Astyanax mexicanus: one gene and its partner. The protein of the gene in region 1 interacts with the protein of each later gene in a biochemical or structural test. Links are inferred from orthologs where the notes say so. Each region holds a gene or a part of one and is shown on either strand. Other genes may lie near its edges. The genes, in order: arhgap1 and bnip2.

What was found.
Region 2: the proteins of arhgap1 (region 1) and bnip2 form a complex in vitro, tested with the Homo sapiens proteins (2 studies listed by BioGRID). The link is inferred for Astyanax mexicanus from reciprocal best matches to the Homo sapiens genes ARHGAP1 and BNIP2.

What each region holds. Positions count from the first base shown.
Region 1 is NC_064430.1:14,456,060-14,468,904, forward strand, and holds the start of arhgap1 (rho GTPase-activating protein 1), read left to right. Parts: upstream 1-6,487; 5' UTR 6,488-6,589; intron 6,590-11,432; 5' UTR 11,433-11,466; coding exon 11,467-11,602; intron 11,603-12,845. Other genes in the region: f2 (prothrombin), read left to right, coding at 209-520, 796-903, 1,712-1,835, 1,943-2,110, 2,630-2,803, 2,888-3,066, 3,613-3,683, 3,825-3,980. UniProt on the Homo sapiens protein: GTPase activator for the Rho, Rac and Cdc42 proteins, converting them to the putatively inactive GDP-bound state. Cdc42 seems to be the preferred substrate.
Region 2 is NC_064409.1:57,086,854-57,098,750, reverse strand, and holds the start of bnip2 (BCL2/adenovirus E1B 19 kDa protein-interacting protein 2), read right to left. Parts: upstream 6,308-11,897; 5' UTR 5,595-6,307; coding exon 5,227-5,594; intron 1,494-5,226; coding exon 1,398-1,493; intron 824-1,397; coding exon 759-823; intron 57-758; coding exon 1-56.

The DNA of each region.
Region 1 (12,845 bases):
TATTATTTAGTTTTTGGCTTTAGTTTTAGTATTTTTTTATTTAGTATTAAACATATTTACATCTCCTGTAAATACACTTAAAAACCATTGAAAAGAACATTTCTGTCAGTTGGATTTGTTTCTGTGATTTTGTGCAATAAACCATAACTTTAGTCTATAAGTTCAACCAGTAGAAGTGGTATATTTCAGCTGTTCCCCTGTTCCGCAGGAGAGACCTTGCAGCCAGTTCCAACCGTCAAAGTGGGGACTATAGAGGAGCGCTATGCTAAGACCAAATGTATTGCTGGCAATGGAGAAACTTACACTGGAGATCTGTCTGTGACTCTGGGTGGCCACACCTGCCTGGAGTGGAACTTGCCTAAGGTGAAGGCTTTGAGTGTGGGGAAGGAGTTCAAACCAGATATACAACTAGTGAAGAACCACTGCAGGAACCCCGATGGAGATCTGGAGGGACCATGGTGCTATGTGAAGAGTGCTGCTGGAACCATCACTGTCGATTACTGTAACCTAGAGCTATGTGGTGAGCAATGGTACTGATAAAAGTGCTTTTATTACTGGTGATCACAACAAGAAGGTACACCAAATTAATGCTGTCCATTTTCTCAAATTAACCTCACACCCATTTTTTTATATTGCAGTGTGATGCAGATGTATAACCCTGGCTTGTGTCTTGCTATGATTATTTAAAAAATGCATATTACACTAAATACACTGCAAATGTCTACTAAAATATTAAATTAAAATATTAACATTTTTTTACTTCTCAAACAAGATGTCTTCTCTCTTGTCTTTAAGATGCTCCCTTGGTAGGGATGGTAGAACAGGACTCTGATCGGAAGAGGACCACTACAGAGAAAAGAACTGCTTTCTTTAGCCCTCGCAGCTTCGGCCAAGGAGAAGAAGGTAAAAATTTTAGCAATAGCAGGAGGTGTATTTATTCTCAGTTCACTATTTTTTAGAAGGGCCCACCCGGTATTTAAAAGTACTGGTCACTTTTCTGTCCATGTAAGTATAACCTGATATTAAGTTCATGACATTTGTTTCTGTTCCTTAAAATTTGCATGTCAACATACTAGATGCAAGGTTAAGGCCCTTTCCCATTTTTCCCTTGGCCGTGCCACTTAGTGTGTCCTTATTCTTGTTAGGCGGTAGAGCGAGTGTTAGGGCAACATCATCCTTCAAACTGAAAACTGAAAATCACTGACAGGTGAACACATGCATTTATCTGCAATTTAAGAGATACAGAACCAATATCTCAATAAAAAGAAGCATGTCCACACATAATAGTAATATTACAGGATTTATGCGGTTTGCTTGTGACGGCTAGGAACCTTTCTATGTTTGGGGTGGTTATGACTGAGACACCATTCTCCCTATTGCAAGTCATTGTGCAATCAACAGGATTTTGTTAAAATGTAATACTCTTCTAAAATAATAAATACATCTTCGAAAATGCTGCTGAAACTAATGAATTTTACAACATTAATAGCGGTATTTATATAGGTTTTGCAATAGATGTACTTGTTTTGCACAGCTGACATATTTTAAAAGATTTGAAACCAGCTTAAGCTTCGATTACTTTTGTTAAATAATTTCTCTGTTAATTATTTTCAGGGATCATCTCAGTTAGATCTGTTCATCATCTTTTTTTTAATGGCTAAAGTCTGGCTCTTCTTATATCATTTCATTTTGTCCTTGTGTCTGATTTTAGAGTGTGGAGTGCGCCCTCTATTTGAGAAAGTAAGTAAAGCAGATGGAACGGAGGTTGAACTGCTCAAATCATATTCTAAAAGAATTGTGGGAGGTGTTTCTGCTGAAGTAGGAAGTGCACCATGGTAATTACAGTTCATATCTATTTTTTTCTATATTTACCTATTTGGTAATCTCACAGTACATAATGATTTTATTGTAAGATGTGTTTGTAATGTGATTTGATCCACAGGCAGGTGATGTTGTTTAAGCGTAGCCCTCAGGAGCTTCTGTGTGGAGCCAGTTTGATCAGTAATGAGTGGATCCTCACTGCAGCTCACTGCATTCTTTACCCACCATGGAACAAGAACTTCACCATTGATGATATTCTTGTTCGCCTTGGAAAACACAATCGTGCTAAGTGAGTTCCTTCCTAATAAAATTGTAAAGCTATACACTGTATGCACAAAAATATTGGGACACCCACACATTACACCTACAGAAGCCTGTATCACATTCTATTCTAAATCAAAATAAATTAATATTGTTAGTCCCCCCCTGTTGCAATTCTAACAACAGGTTTGGAGCTGTGCAGTTACTGAGTCAGAAAAACAATGTGTAATTTTACATTTACACTTCAAAACACATCTATATTTCAATAATTCCACACACATTTGATCATGGAATATCTAGAAGGATATCAACTTATTACAGTATCAAGCTGGAATTCAATTTAGAGCCTTTCACACCCGCCCATTCTTTTAGAAAAGTTTATAAAGGCAGACTCCATTGATAGGTGCTTAATCGTATACATCTTTAGCAGTGTGACTAAATAAAACATCTGAATTCATTGATTAAGACGTGTGTCCCACTACTTTATCCCATGTAGTGAAGGTAAAGTAAGTCTGTACAGACCTTGATTGTTTTCTTTATAATTCAGGTACGAGAGAGGTACTGAGAAGATTGTGGCAATCGATGAGATCATTATTCATCCAAAATATAACTGGAAGGAGAATCTTAACAGGGACATCGCTCTGCTGCACATGAAGAAACCTGTCACCTTCACTAATGAAATCCACCCTATCTGCCTGCCCAGCAAAAGTGTCGCAAACTTGTAAGAAAACCTTTCTTTTGTAGTGTGAGCTCTATATTTCAAAATAGTACCTGCAAAAATACCAACTCTTTGTTCTGTATATAGATTGATGTCTGAGGGCTTCAAGGGTCGTGTGACAGGCTGGGGGAACCTGAAGGAGTCATGGACATCAAACCCACAGAATCTGCCGGCAGTGCTGCAGCAGATTCACCTGCCTATTGTGAACCAGGACACCTGTCGCAAGTCTACCTCAATCCGTGTCACTGACAACATGTTCTGTGCAGGTGAAGGAATGAAATCCTGTGTAATAGTGAACAAAAAGTACCACCTTCTTACTTTAACTTACTTCTGCTCACAAATTAAGAGTTCAAATCTCATTACATTCGTCCCAGAAGAAGCTGAAAATTTCTGCATTTCAGTAACAACATTATGCAGTTATTCACATCATTACAATTTTCAAATTTAACCTCAAAGAATCAGAACATTTCAATGATAAACATTACAATGACCGTTCAGTAGTTAACATCTCAAACTTAATATTCTTAGGTTCCTAATATTTTAAAACCATTATTAGAATTAATATTAGTCTTCTGTCATTGCTGAAGCATCACCAATCTTGTACTTGTGCATTATTGAAGGCATATTTTCTTATTCTGGATTTTTGAAATAAGCATTATGTTATTTCTTGAAACAAACTAAATTATCTTACAGAAAAATAAAAGACAAATTCACTAGCTACCATTACCTGAAACAAGGATATTTTAACTGTGTACAGAAGTGTGTAATTTAAATAGCATTAATTGTACTGTAATTGTGTGCTTTTCTTTTAGGTTACAGCCCAGAGGACACACAGAGAGGTGATGCATGCGAAGGAGACAGTGGTGGACCATTTGTAATGAAGGTAAGAGGATGATTATTGTTAATGCTATTCTTTTCACATTTACAGACTTTCACTGGGGACTTCTATATAAATCATTGTTTCTATATGAGTACATTAAGTTACTTTTGATTGAAATCCTACATACACTCTTACCATCTGCAGAATCCTGATGACAATCGCTGGTATCAGATTGGTATTGTGTCGTGGGGTGAGGGCTGCGATCGGGATGGTAAATACGGATTTTACACCCACCTGTTCCGCATGCGCCGCTGGATGAGGAAGGTCATTGAAAAATCAGATTCTGCAGATGATGACTGATGTCCTTATGAATATGCAAGAGCCAAATATGTCTCTTTTTGGGATTTGTCCAACTGAAATAAAAGTGCAAATAAAAGTTGATTAATCTGAAAGTGGTATGTTTTTTTCTTAATAAAAGTAATAATAATAATCCCATATTTGCCAAAATACAGAAAGCTAAAATATAGGGAACAGTTTTAAGTTTTAACATACTTGAACTGAGGGTTTAACTTTAAAACTTGGAGAAGTGAACTTAAGGGTTTGAAATTTCATGGGTATGTTTACATGCTGAGAGTTGATACTTCTCCTCAGTAAAATTTCCTGTTACTTTTCTACTGAAGTTTTGGGTTTTGTGTATCATATCATTGTTGTAATAGTTTATTCATACTTGTTTGTTTTTTTCTGTGAACATTTAACGTGATTAGTATAAGTCAAGTTAGATATCCTTACAGTATTACAGAGTTAGATATGTGCAGTGATGGTATAGTTACTTTGAAAAAGTAATCCGATTACTGATTAGTCCTTTAAAAAGTAACTTAGTTACTTTATGGATTACTTGATTTTAAAAGTAACTAAGTTACTTTACAAGTTACTTTATTAGTTACTTTAAGCAGCTGCACACACCACGTCCCGCCGCCTTAACATAAAAATTATAACCAGTTTTGCCAATACTCCCTTTATTCGAAAAAGCATTTTTAACAGCATCAATGTTTCTCTAGACATTTAAAGTTGAACTATTTCCTGAAAAAATAAGTTTTTTATATAAAAATAAAAGACCATTTATCTTGAATTAACTTAACATCAATATTTTTTTTATAAAAAATAAAATATGGTCTTTCTTGATTTCACTTAACATAAATACTTGTTTTTATAAAGAAATATAAAATATTGAAAGTCTTTCTTGACCTGACATATTTAACACTGTAAAACTGAACATTGAACCTGTTGTTCTCTGCAGGGCAGCAAGGAGTGGTATTATAAAACAGAACCGTGTATATGATCGAGCCCAGGGATCACATATATGCGGACTGCGGTCCGGATCCGGACCCAGACGTTGTTCAATGCGGACTCAAACCGATAAACTACTGAGAAGGATTTAATTTTGACAATGTTCATTTAAAGCGTCTGAACTTTTCTTGTCTTTACGGTATACACGCTCTGCGGCACGGGAAACTTGCAGACCAATCACGTGTAGTGTAAATCTTCAAACACTCTCCTATGCCAATCAGATCTGTGCAGACCGCTGCCCTGGCTAGTGAATTGGGACGCGGCCGGGAAAAAACGCCTTTATAAAGAGATAGGGAGCCCGAGAACTGGCGGAAAAACGAGAATGGGAGGAAACTAGACACGCCGAGCGCGAGAGAGAGAGACAGGGGAGAAAGCGAGATGCGTGTGATTGGGGGAGAGCGGAGGTGTGTGTGTGTGTGTGTGAGGTGGAGAGAGAGAGAGAGTAACGCACAGTGACTTGGATAAGTAACTTTAATCTGATTACTGCATTGGAAATAGTAACGCGTTAGATTACTCGTTACTGAAAAAAATGAGTCAGATTAGAGTACGCGTTATTAAGTAACGCGTTACTGACATCACTGGATATGTGTACAGTAGTAGCACATACATATGTTTTTAAAAACAGTAAAGGATTAAGCTGTCATTAATAAAATCCAAATAAAAAAAAATTGAATTTTCCCTGATTTCAAATTTATGCAAACTCAACACCCACCCATAATTTAATGTATGTAATAATAATCCCTTATTCGCTAAAATACAGAAGATTTAAATATAGTAAACAGTAATTTTTTAACATGTGCCTTGATATAACAATGTAGTTGCAATATACTGTGTATGTACAGTCCTTAAAAATTATAAAGGCCATTTAAAAGTTCTGAGTTTCTTTGATTTTACCAAATTGAAAACCTCTGGAATATAATCAAGAGGAAGATGAATGATCAAAATCCATCAAACCAAGCTGAACTTCTTGATTATTATTTTTTTTACACCAGGAGTAGCATAAAGTTGTCCAAAGGCAGTGTGTAAGACTGGTGAAGGAGAACATGCCAAGGTGCATTAAAACTGTGATTAAAAACAGGATTATTCCACCAAATATTGATTCCTGTACTCTTTAAACTTTATGAATATGAACTTGTTTTCTTTACATTATTTGAGGTCTGAAAGCTCTGCTTTTTTGTTATTTCAGCCATTTCTCATTTTCTGCAAATAAATGCTCTAAATGACTAAAAAACAATGTTCATTTTACTCAAACATATTCCTATTAATAGCAAAATCAGAGAAACTTATTCAGAAACTGAAGTGGTCTCTTTTTTTTTCAGAGCTGTATATCCAAAAATATCCAGATGCGTCTAGCTAGCTAGTTAACTTAAAGCTTTAGTATGAAATTTTGACCTTTATAAAAAATATCACTTTTCTGCCTTTCAGAAGTACAGCTGATTAACTATAAATATTTGAAATATGTATTTATTAGTGGTGTTTTGGACCTGTATCTCAGGAGAAAGCCGCAGTAACTGGAGCTTTTATGGTGAAATGTGAGGTGACAGGCTGCAGCCGGAAGCCCTGCTTGAATTAGCTTGATTGTCAGAGTGGAGAAATATTCAGTCAGCGGCTCCGAACAGCAGGTAAAGCTTTTCGCTTTCATTTCTTCATTAGGAGCGGGTTTCTGTGTGCACGGGTTCCTGTTTCAGTATACGGTGTTATTGTTCGTGTAGGGGAGTTAAGATAGTGTCGAATTTAACAGGACTGAAATGTGCTTTTTAACCAGGACACCAAAACAAGCTGCTGGCTAACCCTGTTAACCTGCTAGCGCTGGCTTTAGCTTTAGTTAGCTTAGCTTTTCGGGCTCGTACTGCTGAGAGACTCATATACAGCGCTATGCTGTTGATAGAGATAGCCCGTCTTTACTGCAGTGAGCAGTGTGTGGACGTGGGTGTTAAACAGACTCGCTGAAATTTTGACAGACAGCGTCCGCTAGCTAGCTAACTACTGTATATACGTGACACAGACGATTTTTTCGGCCATAGCGTTTAACCTAGCTAATCTAGTTAAATAGCTAACCGTTAACAAACACGACTGGGACGCCTTGTTTTTAAAGCTGTGTTACCAAGTTATCTAGCGTTAATGTTAGCGTTAACTCTGTGGACGAGGCTCAGTTATAGACAAATTAACCCGGGGTTAGACAGCTAACCTAACCTAGCTGCTGGTCTACTTGAACTTCATGGATTTTCAGCGACTGACTTCAGATGGTCCCACTTGTAACTAGTTAGGTTAGCTAGCTAAAGGATAAAGTTTATTTGGGTACTGGGTAGGTTTATGCCTGTTAACTAGCTAACGTTACATAGTTAAGTTGGATAGTTAACGTTAGCTAGCTAAGCTAATCAGGAAAACAACAACAACACTATCAAGCTAGTGTTAACTAACTAATCAACTAGCTACATGTTTAGCTAAATTGGCTAGCTAAAAAATATGTTTATAATTAATAAAGTAAAGAACTGGAGAGTGCAGTTGCTGCAGTGTCTGGGTTATGGTAACCCTTTTTATAAATCGTATTGGCGTTGGTAATATAACCTACTAACTAAAGGTAACTAACTGCCTGTTATTGACTCAGTTTCCCTAGCTACAGAAGGACAAAAACGTCTTAAATATCTGTTGTTTGTTAAATAAAAAATCGTGTACAATGACACTGCCTAATTTGTGGATCAACAAGTAAGTTAGCTAGTTAGTAAGTGACAGTAATTTCAGACACTGAACATCGGATAAAGCAGGCCACGGCTAAAATTAAGTTAGTTTTCTAGCTAAAGGTTTAGCTAATAATGTAAGTTAGTTATGTTTATATTCTGTTTGGGGCTAAATTTAAAACCAGAATATTAGGTGTAAAACATGTATTTTTTAAATGTAGCTACTATAGTGAAGATGAATTGAGTTTTCATCCCATATTTGTAGTTTTTAAATTCTGCCTTTTGCTAACAGAAGTAATGTTCTCTTGATTTTTATATTTTACACATTGTAACAAAATTCTGATGATAGAATTCTAACTCTGAATCCTAACTCTGAGGTCCAGAAATAAAAAGCTATATAAAAAAAAAATTAAAACCCATTTCTTCTTTTCATAATTGACACCCAATTTTCTGCTTTTTAACTTAACCTCAAACAGTCAGGAATTTGAAATGGGGTAAAAAAAAAATACATTATTTTACATACTAAACTTTATATTCTGAGGTATTATTTAAAGTATTATTATAATAATATATTTTTCAAAGTCTTTTATCATTTCTGAAGCATCAAAATAACAAGAAGTACAGTGTTTAGCCTGGCTGCTAATCTGTCTATAACTATAACCATTAGCTTTTTTGCTATTTGCTTACTTTTAAAGTGTACATGAATTTTGAAGTCAGCTTTCTACAATTATGTGACCTTACGTGTACCTGTGGTTAATGACCAAGCAGTGTTTTCTGATAGCTGCCTTATCAAAGTAAACCTATCAGATATTTGCCGTCCTGCTTGTAAAACCTTCCTGTGTTATTTTGTTGCCTCCTTTGATAGAAAAAGGGTGGCAGTAGTTTTTTTTTTTCTTCACAGCTCTCGGTTTTCTTCTCACTGTCAAATCACATGATGTTCCTGAGAGCTTCAGAACACACACACACATACATACACACACAATACTCCTGACCACCTAAAAAGTCCTTACTGGGCGTTTTCATTCACTGATAGCTGGATGACTCCTAGATGAAAGGGACAGAGATGTGAAACTGGGGCAACAGGGAACACAAGGCTGTTTTTACAGTTCTCAAGTGTTAACACTTAATTTAGAAACAACACAGCACTTGTGGGTCCCATTTCTCTAAAGTAGATCAGAAGTGTCTGTCGAGCATGCTGTGGGGCTGAACTGCATCAAGGACTGAGGCTGATAAAACAGACCTGAAAGAATAGCAGTATTTGTGCTTTAAAATTAGTTGTGAAATGAAAGAGAGCAGAGCATGGGATGTGCCAAAGGGTGGCAAGTGGCCCAAAAATATTGTGAGAGAAAAAAGATTTACATTGTTACATTTACATATCAACTATCGCTATATTCGTATATTTCCAGGTTGAACTGGAATTGCCTTAATATGATATGGATGTGGTGCATGAACTAATACATATACGATATGTATAAGACTTGTGGGCATGCGGCACAAATGTGAGCAGTCAGGTCAGATTATATGCATCTTTTTCTTAGTGCACATGCATTTGGGCCTGTTTCCAGCTATCAGCCAGAACCAGTGTTGAGAAATTCCAGAATCTGTATTCTGACCGCCTTTTACATGCATGAGGTATTAACACCACAGATTATACTTGTGATTTATGACATATATTTAATTGACAGCAAACAAAAAAAACAGAGTTACAGGGTCAATTTGGATAAACATTTTAGTGTGCCATGCTTACTGTTTAATGGACAGGTTTGTTCACATTGGACAGATACATGTTACTCACATTTATGAATGTGAATTGTGAAGATCCAATCTGAGCAAAAACAAATAGAAATTGAAAATATAGCTTACCACAATTGCCATACACTATTGCAATTTTGCCTCTTTCTATTTTATGATATAAAGAATCTCAGTATGTTTAATGAAACCAGTAGGATCTAACCAATAATGTAATGCTTGTGATAAGCGTTCACCATTCTCGCCTTGTTTATAACTGCCTGTGCAGAATAGTGCATGAGAAGAAACACACCCTTCCGTCCCTTCACGCTTCCCAAGTGCAGCCTGCTGTACCTACTAAACCTAATGGCCATTTATTTTTAGTTGCAAATGTTCCCCCTTTGTCTGGTGTTTCGCCACAGAAAGTTGGTGTTGAAACTTTTCTTTTATTAGACCAAGGAAGCAGTCATGCACAAAGGGTACCCAAACAACTGTAGACAAACAGTACTTCCTGTGCTCAGATCTTAATGTTGACATAATGCTAGTGGGTGAAGCACATCAGATAAAATGTATGGTGCACCTTATTGCAGCATTGTAGTCAGAGTTTGGGTTGACTTATATGACCAGAGAATTAGTGTGATCAGGATGTTCACATCACATTTTCTCAATCACAACTCCCCAACTCATTACTCAACTCCAACTATACCAGTATGTTCCAAAGCACAATGATGGAGAACTCTGTACCTACCGCTCAAGTTCACACCTGGCATTAGGCATTGTGCCAACAGGTTCATGTTTGTCTGCTCTAGTTTGACCATTTCTATTGGCACTTTTTTTTATACAGAGACTAGGCAAGATTTTTGTGCCACTTAAAGTAGCCGAATGCGTTTATTTGGGTGTCCCTAAACATTTGGACAAAATTACATTACAACATTACAACAGAATGTGATTTTACTGCTCATCTTAGATTGTTAATCGAATGGCTGTATTAGCATTTTAGACATTGAAACCCATGGTTGCCACTGGTACCATTGAAAAGAACTCTAAATATGATGGCGCATGTTAAGGATAAGAATTACTGCATAATTTTCTGCATTTAAAGCTGTTCACCATACGTATTATAACTCTGCAATCTGAGAGTAGCCGGTTATAGACCAGCACCCTCTTAATCTGAAGATACTGCAGTCGTGCTCAGGCAGTCTGTGGTGCCAGTTGGCAATGGCAAGATGGTAGATGGACTGCGTTTAAGTGGCACTGATGTGTGAAGCTGCTGTTTCTGCTCAGCTGGGCAGCCACTGAGCCACAATTCTGCTCCCTCCTCTGCATGCCCGCGATATATAAAGAAAAGAAATGTCACAGCAGATCAGTATCTGAATCCAGCAAGCGCTCGTGCTTTCAGCCTTACGGCCAGAGGCATGCACATACTCACGCTCCTCAGATTTAAAGGGGCCTTAACTCATTTTACAGCAAGACATTTGCAGTGAGTTGATTGATTACACTGTTGTTTGTGATGATCAAAAGCTAATACCATTCTATACTTAAAATAGACAAACAGGGACTGTTCTTAACCTTATATCGGTGTTTTTTTATGCAGTAGACCTGCTACTTGCATTCTTACCTTGTTAGCACTTATCACTTTGTGTGGTTAGATGTGTGATTTGGGGCGAGAATAAGCAAAAAAAGCAGCAGCAGCAGCAGTTTGTGGTGAATGATGTTGAGCACAGCAGTGGTTAGACTGAGAGAAACAGCGAGGTGACCTCAAGCCAGCAAAGACATTATTAGCTTTTGGCTCAGAGAAAGCTTAGAATAAACACATTTCAGTAATGTGTGTCTGAAATGCCAGCTGTGTTTGTCTGCCTCTGCTTCTTCAGATATTGAAAGTACATATTTTTTGTGGCTAGGACAGTGTGTGTTCGTGTTTGTGTGAATGATGGCTTGACAGCTGTCAAATGGAACAGACAGATGGGTCAGTTTGTATGGGCATGTACATTTTATAAACGAATGTGTATGTATATAATACAGTAAGCCTGAATGTACATTTCTTTGTCTCTTGTGCCAGGTCCTTGTGTGTGGTGTTTTTGTAGAGGACCATCATGTCCTCGGATTTGCTGGTGGACCTGCATGATGATCTGGGTGGAGATGACTCTCCCAGTGCTGCCCTGGACCAGCTCAAGCTGGTGCAGGACAAACAGTGGCCACCTGATGACCCAGTCAGCTTCAGCAAGTCTGGTGAGTGTTATTGAGATATTGGCTTTTGCGCTCCAGAAAAGTTAAGAGATTTCAAACCTTATCATTCGGGGCCACTCCTCATCCTGCCTGGTGATGGCAATACATTTTTTTCTATTGATTTTAAAGGTTATTATGCTAAAAGCAGTGACCCAAATTGTTAGGTTCGATATTTGGGAGAAATGTTGTTATTGCATATAAGCCTTCTCATAAACGTTTGCAGTTTCCTTTTGGATCAACAATATGTTTTAGGTATTTTTATTTAGTGTATGATGATAAAGAATGTCTTGAGAGTTGACTCTCTTGACTGCAACCTAAAAAGTAGCAATAGCTATGCTGTAGTGTAGATAGACAAAGCCCCAATAATTGGAGTGCTCATTAACTCATCCTCATCTCTGGTCAAAAATAGGTGTGACTGTAAATAAGCTGATAACAAAGTGGAGGTTGTCATGATTTTAGAAGTGAAAATTTGCTAATTATCCTAAATGCTAAAGAACAAAAAAAAAGCATAAACGCTCATTGACAACACTAGGGGCCAGTTTTTAAGACATTGACAGTGCAGTTTAGTCTTTGTGTGTTTGTGAACATGCCCTTGTCAGTACAAACATAACTGCTCGGTCTAGTAACTTTTTATGTGTGTAAGTCCTATATGCATACATTTAAAACCAGTTCTTACCAGTTTTGTAATTGCATTGTTGGGTTGGAATGCTAGAATGAAACATTCAAATACTGGTTCTGCTCTTTTGTTGTTTCTGAGACTGACTATTAGCATATTGTTCAAGAAATCCGGTGTGAAATGATATTGAGTGAAACATGATATTGAGTTTAACCTTTTGTTGAATAGCCTTTCTCTTTTCGCCCTCAACGTTCAAAAATGCAGCACTCTTAGCCGATGCTCCCAGTAGGTTTACAATGCTAGCAATAGAGGGTGTAGTGTTGCCCATGCAAAGAACTCACTATTTTTATGCATTTTTACTGAGTTATTTTGCAACCTGTCCTACCCATTTGTTCATGCTCGCTAATTGACTCATCATGACTTAATTTAATACATTTTATTAAACTACTTGTGTGTTTGCAAAGCTCTGAGTGCCTCGTTTTAAATGTCCGGGCCCTCGGAATTCTATCAATTAAGTATGGAGCTACTTTGTGCTTGTTAATGGTGCAAAAATAGTGATTCCTTTGTAGGGCAGCTATGCCCCTATCACTAGCATTGTAAGTCTGTAGGGAGAATCGACTAAAAGCGCTG
Region 2 (11,897 bases), on another chromosome or scaffold:
GGCCAACAGCCTCCTTTTCGTTCTTTTTCCACTGTTCGATCCATATGCTTGTGGGGCTGCAAAAGTAAAGCAAAACAACAGTTTCAAAATGCAGAGAGTAACAATTGAATGTAAAAGCTATGGAAAACTAGATGAGTGGTTCTCTTTTTGTGCCCTGGTACAGCACAGCTCTGCATAAAGTGTATTAGTGGGTCCCCCAAAGCAGGATTAAAAAGAGATTGTGGACACTTTGGAACAGGCTCGTGGCCAAATATTGATATGGTAATATATAGTATAATTTTTGTTTGCGATAAGTAAAAAATACGTAAAATTAAATATCAATATTTATTTTTTTGCATTTAGTTTTTTTTTTTATTTACTTTTTTTGTAAGCACATGTTACACAATTTGAAACAATGTTTTTGTAGTGTACAGTAGTACAGTACAATAGTTTAAAGTGTACAGTAGTAGTTTATGGTTATTTTACAGTTTCAGTATGTATAAAGAGACACGAGCAAGCTAAGCTATGCACATTATTGTACACTGCTTCATACTCTTCTATGTAACTATCACTAATAAATAAATAAGTCCTGGTATTTGTATATGTTGAATATTTTTATCCTCTTCAGTTACAAAGACAATGTGAAGGATTATAGAAAATAGTTTTATAATATACTGAGTAACGAAGAATCATAGTATTGTGATATCATTGGCAACCTATTATGACAACATCCTAACATGACATGCCCTGTGATTCCCACCCGAACTACGAGTTCATACCAGAATCTCCTTCTCCAGGGAAGAGATCGTCATCAAGTTGAATGTCTTCTTCTTCAGGTAGAGGTCTTAAAATTCAAATGAACCAAAAACAAATAAATTACAATAAAACCTTTACAATCCAAGCAAAACAATATCTGAGATTACTACCCACTTGAATTTCATACCCACATTTAGAACAAATCACACCGGACAAAGGTTTCCAAATAAATCCAAATTCTGGTCTGGTGATCTTTACTTCTGATTGATTGCAAGTAGATTAATGATGATACTGATTGCTTTCACTCATTAACACAGATTGGCTACATTATAATGCTGTTTTTTGCACTGATTTACATATCAATGAAATCTTTCAACTGTTTACAACTGTTTAAACTAACCAAATCAGTAACGCACTATATGGGAAGGAGTATAAGTTGTTAAATGTATTTACACTGCTATAACGTGTGGCTTAAATGCTCCTCAAACCACCTCCTAAAGTGTTTTAAACAGGTATTTTCATTTTTTTTAAACTTCAACACCTTAAACTTTTCCTACTCCCAACACTAAAATGTTCTAACAAGCTTCAGTGTCAATTCATGAAGAGAACAAATCAGAGTTGGCTTAAAGCTATGCACTTTGACTGACTGATTTAGTTTTTACCTGGGGAAGTCTTCATCTTGCCATTCTTCTTTTAGCTCCACCCCTTCCATTCTCAATCGAGCTTCTGTGGTAGCGACCGACTCCTGTTGCTCAAAACTAAGGCAAAAAAAGACATGCAGACATCAAGGCAATTGATTACAAACCACTGCCTCAGGTTCCATCACTCTCCATAGTTTAGCACATATTACACTCACAATAGAATCCAATAGGCTCGTCGAGAATAAAGACAAGAATCAACAACAGAAGCCTTAAAGTGAGTCATAGTTGCTGCTCCACCTGAATCATAGTGTTGTGCTAATTCTGAATTGGCCTATGACGTCAAGCTGGCTGCTCTATTACCTAATATGGCTTCTGCATTTAAGAGTCTAACAAGCAGAGAATTAGGGCTTAGCTTATAGAATATAAAAATTGCTTAACTAAATTCAGGCAAGTGTACTAGCACAAACAGGAATTTGTATGAGCCTCTTTGATGTAGTAATCCCAAATATTTCTGCAAACAAAGTCTCAAAGTACTTTATGAACAACAAAATTTGCTTACAAGTTAATAAAATATACCAATACATCCCCCCTATACTGTGACTGAAAAAAAGAAATGTCACAAGAAATCTTTTCATACAGCTTGAAATGCATTTAGTCTTAAAAACAAACAAAAAAACACTCTGGGTCATTTTTCTAAAGCAGGGATCAACATATCAACAGATTAGTAGTTCTTTCGGGTTTAAATCAAAGCACAGTTGCAGTCGACTATTTGTAGGACTTTTTGTCTGAACCATGTTGTTTAAAAGACTCACAAATCTGTTTCTGAACAACGAAGGAAGACTAAAGTAAACAACAATACACTGATGTCTGGAGCAAAAATAGGCTGGCAAATAAATTGAATGATATCATTCCTATTTTCCTTTCCAGCAGAGCCAAGTCAAGGCAATTAACACACTTGAGAAAAAGATTAGTTGCACAAATAATCAGGATTTAAATGTGAACAAAGATCCTGTTGATGCTACACTGTCAGAATTAAATCCATATTTTAGCCACATGCTTTATCGTCAAATGTGTCTTGAGTTGATCAGACAAAAATCTGATCAGTGTGTGACACAAAACATGCAATCTCGCTACATTACTACTGACGTTACAGTTGCCCTGAGAGGTGTGTTGGTTGATGAATGGTTTGAGTGAATCTTTAATTAATATTAAGTGTGTTCACACTTGCATTTTTAAGTGGATTGGCCTTATTCAGATATAATCCTGAGATCCAAAGACGCATGAAGTGAGCAGATGAGAACAGCATCAAAGTAAATTTCAGGTTCACTCAGACCCTGTTTACACCAGGTCACTTCATGCAAAAAGTATCTGGAGTGGATCCAGATAAAAATTTAACCAGATGCATTTACACTTAGTGGTCAAATGCATCTCTGGTAGCTGGACTGAAATCAAACTGCTGTGTGGAATGGAATATACAACCCATATGCTTATTACAGGGCAAATGGTTGTTCATACATTTAGCGCTTCCTGTGCAGCGCTAAACATTGTTTCCTAACTGGGAAACTGCAATTTTCCAATGCCATTACAATGCCATACTCCATTCTTCAAAGTTAGGGGAAAGCAACAGCTTCAGCAATCAATTCTTACAGGCAAACAATCAATCAGACTAATCAACTCAGAAATGCACTGCATAGGAAGAAGTATGGATTGTTGAATGAGTCTTAGAGACATGTGTCTATAACATGTGGCTTAAAAGCTCCTCAGAAGTGTTCAAGTGATCGTATTTGTTTCATGTTGTTTCAAATGTCTCTTGGATGCATTTACACTTTTATGTGGCTTAGCCATATACAGATACAAACCCGATTTCTGATTCTCAGGAGAAATGAAGTGACCAAGAGGTAAACATGTTCTTAGACTTCAGAGCTAAATATATATATAGAAGAATTACATATGTGCAAGCCATTTCCTGTCTTTACATAGCAATGATAAATGTTAAAAACCTTTCATTCTCCCTGCCACATATGATTTTATAGCACTGATACTGTGAGCAAGAAGTCTTTACTATTAGAACCATGTTATTAATGAATATATCAGTATGATAACATTAACATGTATACACACACAGAGAAGATAATGCAACAGTATGTATGGTTCCTTAATCATGAAATATAATTAAAAAAAAATAAGTAACTTTTCAATCAACTCCCAGACTCGTGTTTAAATGCAGCAGTGCATGAAACAAAGAAAATAAGGCATGAAGCCATCTAAGGTATTTAGCCATTTCAAAGGAAGTCACTCAGATGTGAGTGTGGGGGACCACACAAACACTAGTTGACTGTCGTGCACAGCTAATTGCTATGCCATCTGTGTAGTGTTACTCTTGCTTTTCAAGGGGGACGTTTGTAATCATTCACACTAACCTTCGCAACCGACAAGAGCCCAGAGTGCTGAGTAAGCACAGTCAATAAAATTAAACAGTCCAAGACCCCTTGGAAAAAGGGAGTTTGATATCATGTTTTTTTTAGAGACACTACGGCTTTTGATACACAGTATTAAAACAGCATCATGTAGCTTAACTGTGCAGATTTGAGTAAATGGTCTGCATACAGCACTATCTTTAGAGAGAAGGACATCAGACTTTAAACACATTAATTTTCATATGTTCAAGAAGACAACAAAGCAACTGACAGTTTTACAGTGTACTTGTCAATGTCTGCACATTTGTCTGGGATCAAGTTGTTTACCCTTTGAGAGCTAGGGGGGTGGGGAGTGGGGGTTGCACTGAATAGCTGACTTCCTATTTTCCACTGAAAGCTGTCTTAACCTAAAATGACACCAGCGAATGCAGTTCTACCTCAATTTTTAAAGTAAAAACTAAAATTAAAGATTTGTGTGTAATTTTCACTTGAAAATTCTCATTTCACATATCAGCTATTAAATATCTAATAAGGTTACAATTATAGAATAAAATTATTCTAATTACTCACTTCACATATCCTATTTACATGGTATTTGATATTTGGAATTACAGTTTGCAATAAGTAGAAACATATAGATTTCTGAAATCTAGAGTTTCTATTTGCAAAAGTTACATTATACAAAATGTAAACAGTTTTACTTGTAAAAAATGAGTTTTTAAATCTATGTTTATGCAAACAGTACAAATTGTAAACCCTTGTATATCTAACCTATCTAGTTATGCTCTCTGAATGTGTTTCTTTTTATCTTGTTTACCTCTGAAAAAAAAAAAAATAAGAGACCACTTTTGATTTTACCAAATTGAAACACTCTGGAATATAATCAAGAGGAAGATGGATGATCACAAGTCATCAAATCAAGATGAACTGCTTGATTTTTTGCACCAGAAGTGGCATAAAGTTCCAAAAGCAGTGTGTAAAACTGGTGGAGGAGGACATGCCAAGATGCATGAAAACTGTGATTAAAAGCCCAGGGTTATTCCACCAAATATTGATTTCTGAACTCTTAAATCTTTATGAATATGAATATATGCTGCATCCTTTTCACAAATAATTAAAAAGATGCAGCATATGTTCATATTCATAAAGTTTTAACAGTTCAGAAATCAACATTTCTCTTTTACTGCAAAAAAATGCTCTAAATGGCTATTTTTTGGAATTTGGGAGAAATGTTGTTTGTAGTTTATAGAAAAAAAAACAACAATGTTCATTTTACTCAAACATATACCTATAAATAGCAAAATCAGTAAAACTGATTCAGAAACTGAAGTCGAATCTGTAGTTGACGGGACACTTGCTCGCCTCAGCTCTGAAAAGGTAGTCGGGTTAGCTTTTAAACTTCAACCCCGGAGGCTAATAGCGCTATAAGTTACCTTCCATTGTGCTCCACGGGTGAGCTCTGTGCCTGTGGTAGTTTAACAGGACTCGAGGGCTGCTGGGTCCGTGTCCTCTCCTGGTTTCCTCCATCGTGCGGAGCTGCAGTTTCCTGTAGCGGGTCTCCTGTTTTTGTGGGCCTGTTTTGGGCTGCTCTGTCCCCGTTCTCCACAGACACCACGGCGGCCTTACTCGCACCGTTTCCCGGTTCAGACGGTGACGAGTGGAGACCTGTCGGCTTGTTTTCCAGCGTTTCCAGTGTCCTGGGTGTGTCTGACTCGGAGCTGCTTTTGTTCATAATCACAGCGGCTGTAAGGTTACCACTTTGTTTTAAGCCTCCTTCACCCTCAGTCACATCTGTGGCCATAGGGGGTGGACAGTCAGGTTAAAAACGCAATTAACTAACTAGCTAACCTACTGAACAACAATAATAAAAACCTCCTTCACCAAGCAGTGCGTGCCCAGTGTGACAACTGAAGCCCAGCAACAGACACAGACAGCTAGGGGAGCTAGAGTAGCTAACGCTAGCTAACTAGCTGGCTAGCCAAAGTCAGCGAAACAACTCGCACCGTACAAATAATCAAATCTTCACCCACCTAACCTAACGCTACTCCTGCCAAACATCGAGCCAGCCGACTTTAACTGTGTAAACTTAGTTAGCTAAATACAAACTACTTGGCAACCAATTTGTGTAACAATAGCATAGTTCAAGAACTAAACAACTCTCCAAACAAACTTCCCGAAAAGTGTCTCTTCCAGTCCGCTCCGTGGCCCCGCAGTGCGCAGGCTCCCTTCTTCCCCTCCTTCCTTCCTTCCTATCGCCGATCCACAGCACAGCCCAGCCCGGCGCTGACTGACAGCAACAGAGCAGCGATACACACTCAAAACCCCGCTCACCGAGACCCACAACACCTCATTTCACACACCCGCTCTCCGTCTACACAGTTATGGTACCCAGTTAACCGCTGTCTGACTCTGAAACCTCTCTAAAAGTCTGTCAGGAACATCATTTCCTGACCGTCCACCGCAGCAGCTCCGCAGTTTCAGGGACTCTCCGGTATAACGCGAACTCAACTATACAGCGCAGTGTTTTCACCAACTCCCCACTGCCGCACTTCAAAACAAAAGTCCTACAGCACATGGAAAGTATGATACTTTTTAAATTTGATTTGTTACTTGCTGCTAATAAGTCACTCTTAATATATTTAAGTATTGATATTTAAGTAATAAAACACTCATTTGCAGGGATCTGGTATGGATTCAAATAATTATTGAAAAGCGATATGTTTCTTTACCCACTTAAAACCATTCAAATATTTTATGCAGGTGATTCAAATAACTGTTACTATTACTATTATTAGACAAATTTTGAATCTAGCATATATTTAAAAATATGGAAAAGCACCCACATACTATTTTGCGTTATTTTGACGATTCGAATTTTCTTAAAATCGTTTTAATCAGTTCTTAGAAAGATTCGAATCTTCAGAAAAGTAGTTTAAATCAGTTTTCAAAAATGATTCGAATCTTTAGAAAAGTAGTCCGAATCAGTTTTCAAAAAGATTTGAATCTGTAGAAAAACAGTTTGAATCAGATTTTCAAAAAGATTAGAATCTTTAGAAAAGTAGTCCGAATCAGTTTTCAAAAAGATTTGAATCTGTAGAAAAACAGTTTGAATCAGTTTTCAAAAAGATTAGAATCTGTTGAAAAGTACTTTCGAATCTTCAGAAAATCTTTAGAAATCTTTAGAAAAGACTACTTTTCTAAAGATTCGAATCATTTTTGAAAACTGATTCGAATCTTTAGAAAAACAGTTTGAATCAGTTTTCAAAAAGATTTGAATCAGTTTTTTTTTTCAAAAAGTTTCGAATTTGTAGAAAAGTACTTTGAATCAGTTTTCAAAAAGATTCGAATCTGTAGAAAACTAGTTTGAATCAGTTTTCAAAAAGATTCAAATTTAGGTTGAATCTTTTTGGAATCTTTTAACATTTTTTACTGTTAACTCCTCATAAGGGGTTGGATTCAAATAAGTTTAATTTCTGTATGTGTAAATTCAGTGTATATATCACTACTCCACTCCTTACACATTTTAACAGGTGAGTGTAGCCTTCAAAATAAACAAACCAACATATATTTGGTATTTATATATTTACTGTTTAAGGTGGAAGGAACACTTCTAATAAGCCAGTGTTGGTGTAATTGTGTGAAAATAGAGGCAGCTTTTAAGGTGGCACAGAAACATTGAAGAATTCAACTAATCATTTGACGAATAGAATTAAAAAGGGAAAAATGATCACGTTTAGACTGCTGTTCCCTGCGAAATTTTTCAGCGTTTAGAGCCCTTTAGCACTAACTAGTATTATGCTAATATCCGATAGCGTGCAGCTTCCTGTGGTGCGTATTCACATTTCATAGCAGAACCAAAAATTTCCCCTCTGTTTTGCAGTTTACAGGGATTCCTAATATTTGCTCTGGGATGTTATAGCAAGCCAATGTTGTCTGATAACATTTTAGGAGCCGCCTAACTCAGTAAATAGCTAGCACTTTCAAAGGTCTGGAAGATGTTTGGTGTTGTGCTTGTGTGCTTGTCGGTTCTCTATTTGGGTGCTTTTCCATTTTATGTTTGTATACTTGTATACAGAAAAACTGAGACATAACCATTTAGTTTTAACTTTTTGTTTCATTGTTGTTTGCTAAACTGGGCATATCTTCTTTAAACGTTGTTAGCTATCCAATTTGCTTTGCTTTCTCCCGTTATCAACAAAATCACTTAATCTATACCATGCCATAAATATACAGCTCTGAGACCACTTCAGTTTCTGAATCAGTTTCTCTGATTTTGATATTTATAGGTATATTTTTTAATAAAATGAACACGGTTATTTTATTCTATAAACTACAGACAACATTTCTCCCAAATTTCAAATAAAAATATTGTCATTTAGAGCATTTATTTGCAGAAAATGAGAAATGGCTGAAATAACAAAAAGACACAGAGCTTTCAGACCTCGAATAATACAAAGAAAACAAGTTCATATTCATGTAGTTTTATGAGTTCAGAAAAGAATATTTGGTGGAATAACCCTGGTTTTTAATCACAGTTGTCATGCATCTTTGCATGTTCTCCTCCACCAGTCTTACACACTGCTTTTGGATAACTTGATGCCACTGTATTATTATAGTGGTTTCATTAGACAGTTCTTGATCTCTAAATTGCTTGTGCATTTAAATCACAGCTCTTGGCTTTACTGGTTGCTAGAATGTAATCTTGGTATAAGTTCCTATGCATAGTCTTTATCTGTTCATCAGGTTAGATGTGGATGATATGCCAGAAATATAGCATCTCCATAGTTTAGGAAGCATTCATACAGGATACACAATGTTTTACAATAGTGTAATTTGGTATAGAGACAGTGTCTGCACATTTGAAAGTACTGTAAAGCACATTGAGCCCAGAAAGCTTTTATTCAACGTTTTACTCACTTCACTGCTTTTAAATCCATTTAACCAGAGTATTTGGTGCTCTCTTTATCATAACCATACACATTATTACTGAAAAATAAAATCAGAAATGCATAGTGTGCCATCTTGATCTATTACATTTAAATTAAGTTTTTAAACTAAAATTAAATAGATTTTATTTATGTTGCCCAGCGTTAGATATCAATCAATACGAGTCTGTTTAAACTGTAAAGTTTACCAGTGTGTGGCAGTGTTACAACACAGTTACCTTTTGCTAAAAATTCCCATTGAGGGTCTGTGTCATCACGTACTCCCCACTAGATGGCAGCATTTGACTAAATAAATCAGAGTGTCTGTTCTGACTGTTTCACATACTGTAGTTTATACTCGATCATCAGTGATTATAGTTGGCTCAGTATCAGTAGGATAGATATCATGGTAAAAAAAAACCACAAAATAAATTAATAAAAAAACATTTTATAGTAAATAAATAAATGAAATGATTATAGGAATAAAGTAAATGAAGTAAAAGGAAATTCTTATCACTACTATGTAGTATTTAAGGTGTTGCATCAATTTCAATTCAGAAATAAAATCCAGACCTGCTAACAAATTTACCAGAAATTGTTTAGATGGAATTAAATTAAATCATTTGTTTAAAAAAATTGATTATTTTTAATTTAGTAATTTTTAAATTAATTACTTGATTAGGAACACATATATCACATTGTCATATATATATAGTCATAAATATAATTACTCAACAGACAATTCTGTTCAGTTTAATTTATGTATATCAAATCTACAGTGATTCTCATATCACTGCAGAGTTTTCTCCACTCTCCACTCTTCTGTCACGCAGCACTCCGGTGGCCTCCAACAGTGAGATAATTAGGTGAGGACAACAACCTTCAAGGCATAAACCAAGCATGCTCTTGCGATCCAAACATAACAAAGGATTAGATGAAAATGGGTGTAGAAACAGACTAGAGTATATCCAAGCTTCCATTTTCTTTTTACTAATTCATTAAAGGTCAGCATTGTATCTGCTTTAATTTGTAATTTCATTAACAGTTAATTTGCATTAAACCAGAAATAAAGGGAACATGCAAGATATTGTACATTTTTAAAATGATGTATAAATAATGTAAATGTAAAAACATGTATTAAAGTACTTAAAAAAGTACTTCAATGCAACAAAACAGCCTTTAAAAAAGAAGATGCAACACAAAAAAACAGGTGCACACTACTGCAAATATTCTATCATCCCTTAATTTATGTGTGTGTGTGATGAAATCTATGATTTATTATTCTTGTCTTATTATCAAATGAGCTTCGTTCATGCTGCATGATGAGAACTAGCAATTAGGGTATGCAAATGAGCGAGGACTACAGCAAGCGTTCTGTAATTTCTTGACAGATGAACAAAGAGAAAAGTGCACGGAGCTCTTATGGCTTTGCGTCTGTATTTTTTAATCTTCCTGCATTTACTGCCTCATCATGCCCTGGTAGTGCTTTTACTAATGCATAGTTCAACTCTACTTTAGAGAAAGAATATTTTGATCTGGGCATGGGTGCATCTTTTTTGTGATTTTTTTTTGGCTAAACCAAACGTTGTTCTATAACACCCTGATACCTCAACTGTGTGCTTAGGATCACTCTTTATAATCTCTAATTAACACGCTGCTATTTGCACTGTCTGATCAAGCGTCCTCGCTAACTAAGAGATAATCCGATCAAATTGAAAGTTTACAATACCTTTTCATCTCTCAGTGTGCTGGTGTTTGCCTTGGCTTCATATTGGTATAATTCACAAATAGAGGCCAGTGTAGACTTTGAAGTCCGGGGGGTTGCATACAAATGTGTCTTTCCAAGTTCTGACACAGTTATTCAGTTATCCGGTGCGTTGGATTGTTGGCCTTGCCTTTCTCATTAACTAAAGCAAATTTACTTACTGAAGCACTGATGTGCTTTGAAGAAGATACAGCAAACAGTGGTAGTGATAGTAGATAACAGAGGCTCTGTGATATTTGTAGATCAATAGGGAAACCAGCGAGACCCCACCTAAGCTAACAGTGTCCAACTCTCTAGTACATACAGTGTACTTCCTTTATTTAATGAACTGACCTTTAACTGCTTAGACCTACATACAGCAAATACAATTATTGTATTTCCAGACTACTGTGCAGTAAAATATGTGTATGTGTGTTCTTTACAGATGCTACCTTGTACCGAGCTGCCTCTTGTCAAACATTTGGAGCACTGGAGTGTGTGTGTATAGATGTGCGGTGGAGAGATTGAGAGACAGAAAGAAAACAGATGTTCCGTGGGATTTGATTCACTTGACAATGGAAGTAAGTATCAGAGCCTCTCTCTCTCTCTATTTCTCTCTCTCTTTCAGTTAGTGTTCTAAATTTTTCAAAAGCAAACTTTCTTTTCACAGAGTCGGGGCATGAGTTCTGCACCAAAATGTTTGATGTTCTTCTCATCTGGAGCAGAGCGAGATGCAGTGAGTGCTTAATTTATGAGGACATAACAAGGAAGCTATTAAGCAAACATATTTCCCAGCTTCAACTGGCATGAAAGAAGCACTCAGGGCAAGAAAGCCAGTAGTTTGGTTTTCAAAAGATAATTGCCTAAATGTTTACAAGTAACTGCTACTAAGAGATGAAATTGCAATAACAGCTTTAAGAATGCATCATCCAGTTTTGAAGAAAAAAAAATACCAAACAAAAACTGTCTGAAATGCTTGTGTGAAACACACAAATGTACAAATGTACCTAGAGTGAAGGTGACACACAATTTTGAAGGGAGGGTGCTCCGTTTTGTTCTCTTTTCTTTCTCATAGAAATCTCTCTTTTTCTTTCTTTTTCTTGAATAACAAGAGGCTATAACCCATTTGTGCACCAGTATGGCAGAATAGAATATCCAATTTCCACAAGTGGAGCAGTGGGAAGTATTTAGGCTACTTGAAGTATATCTCTTAATGAGAAAAGACAAAAAGGAATCCATGTGCATGTTTTATGCAATCTGTTTCTGGGTGCACATGAATAATTATTTATGATCGCGAAGCCCTAAAAGGAAGGCATGGAGCAAGAGAAAGAGAAAAAGAACCTGGTAAAAAATTTAAAAGGAGACGTTAAATGAATATTTAAGGGAAGATGAAATATTTAATGGAAACAAATGAGCAAAACATTTAAAGCAGCAT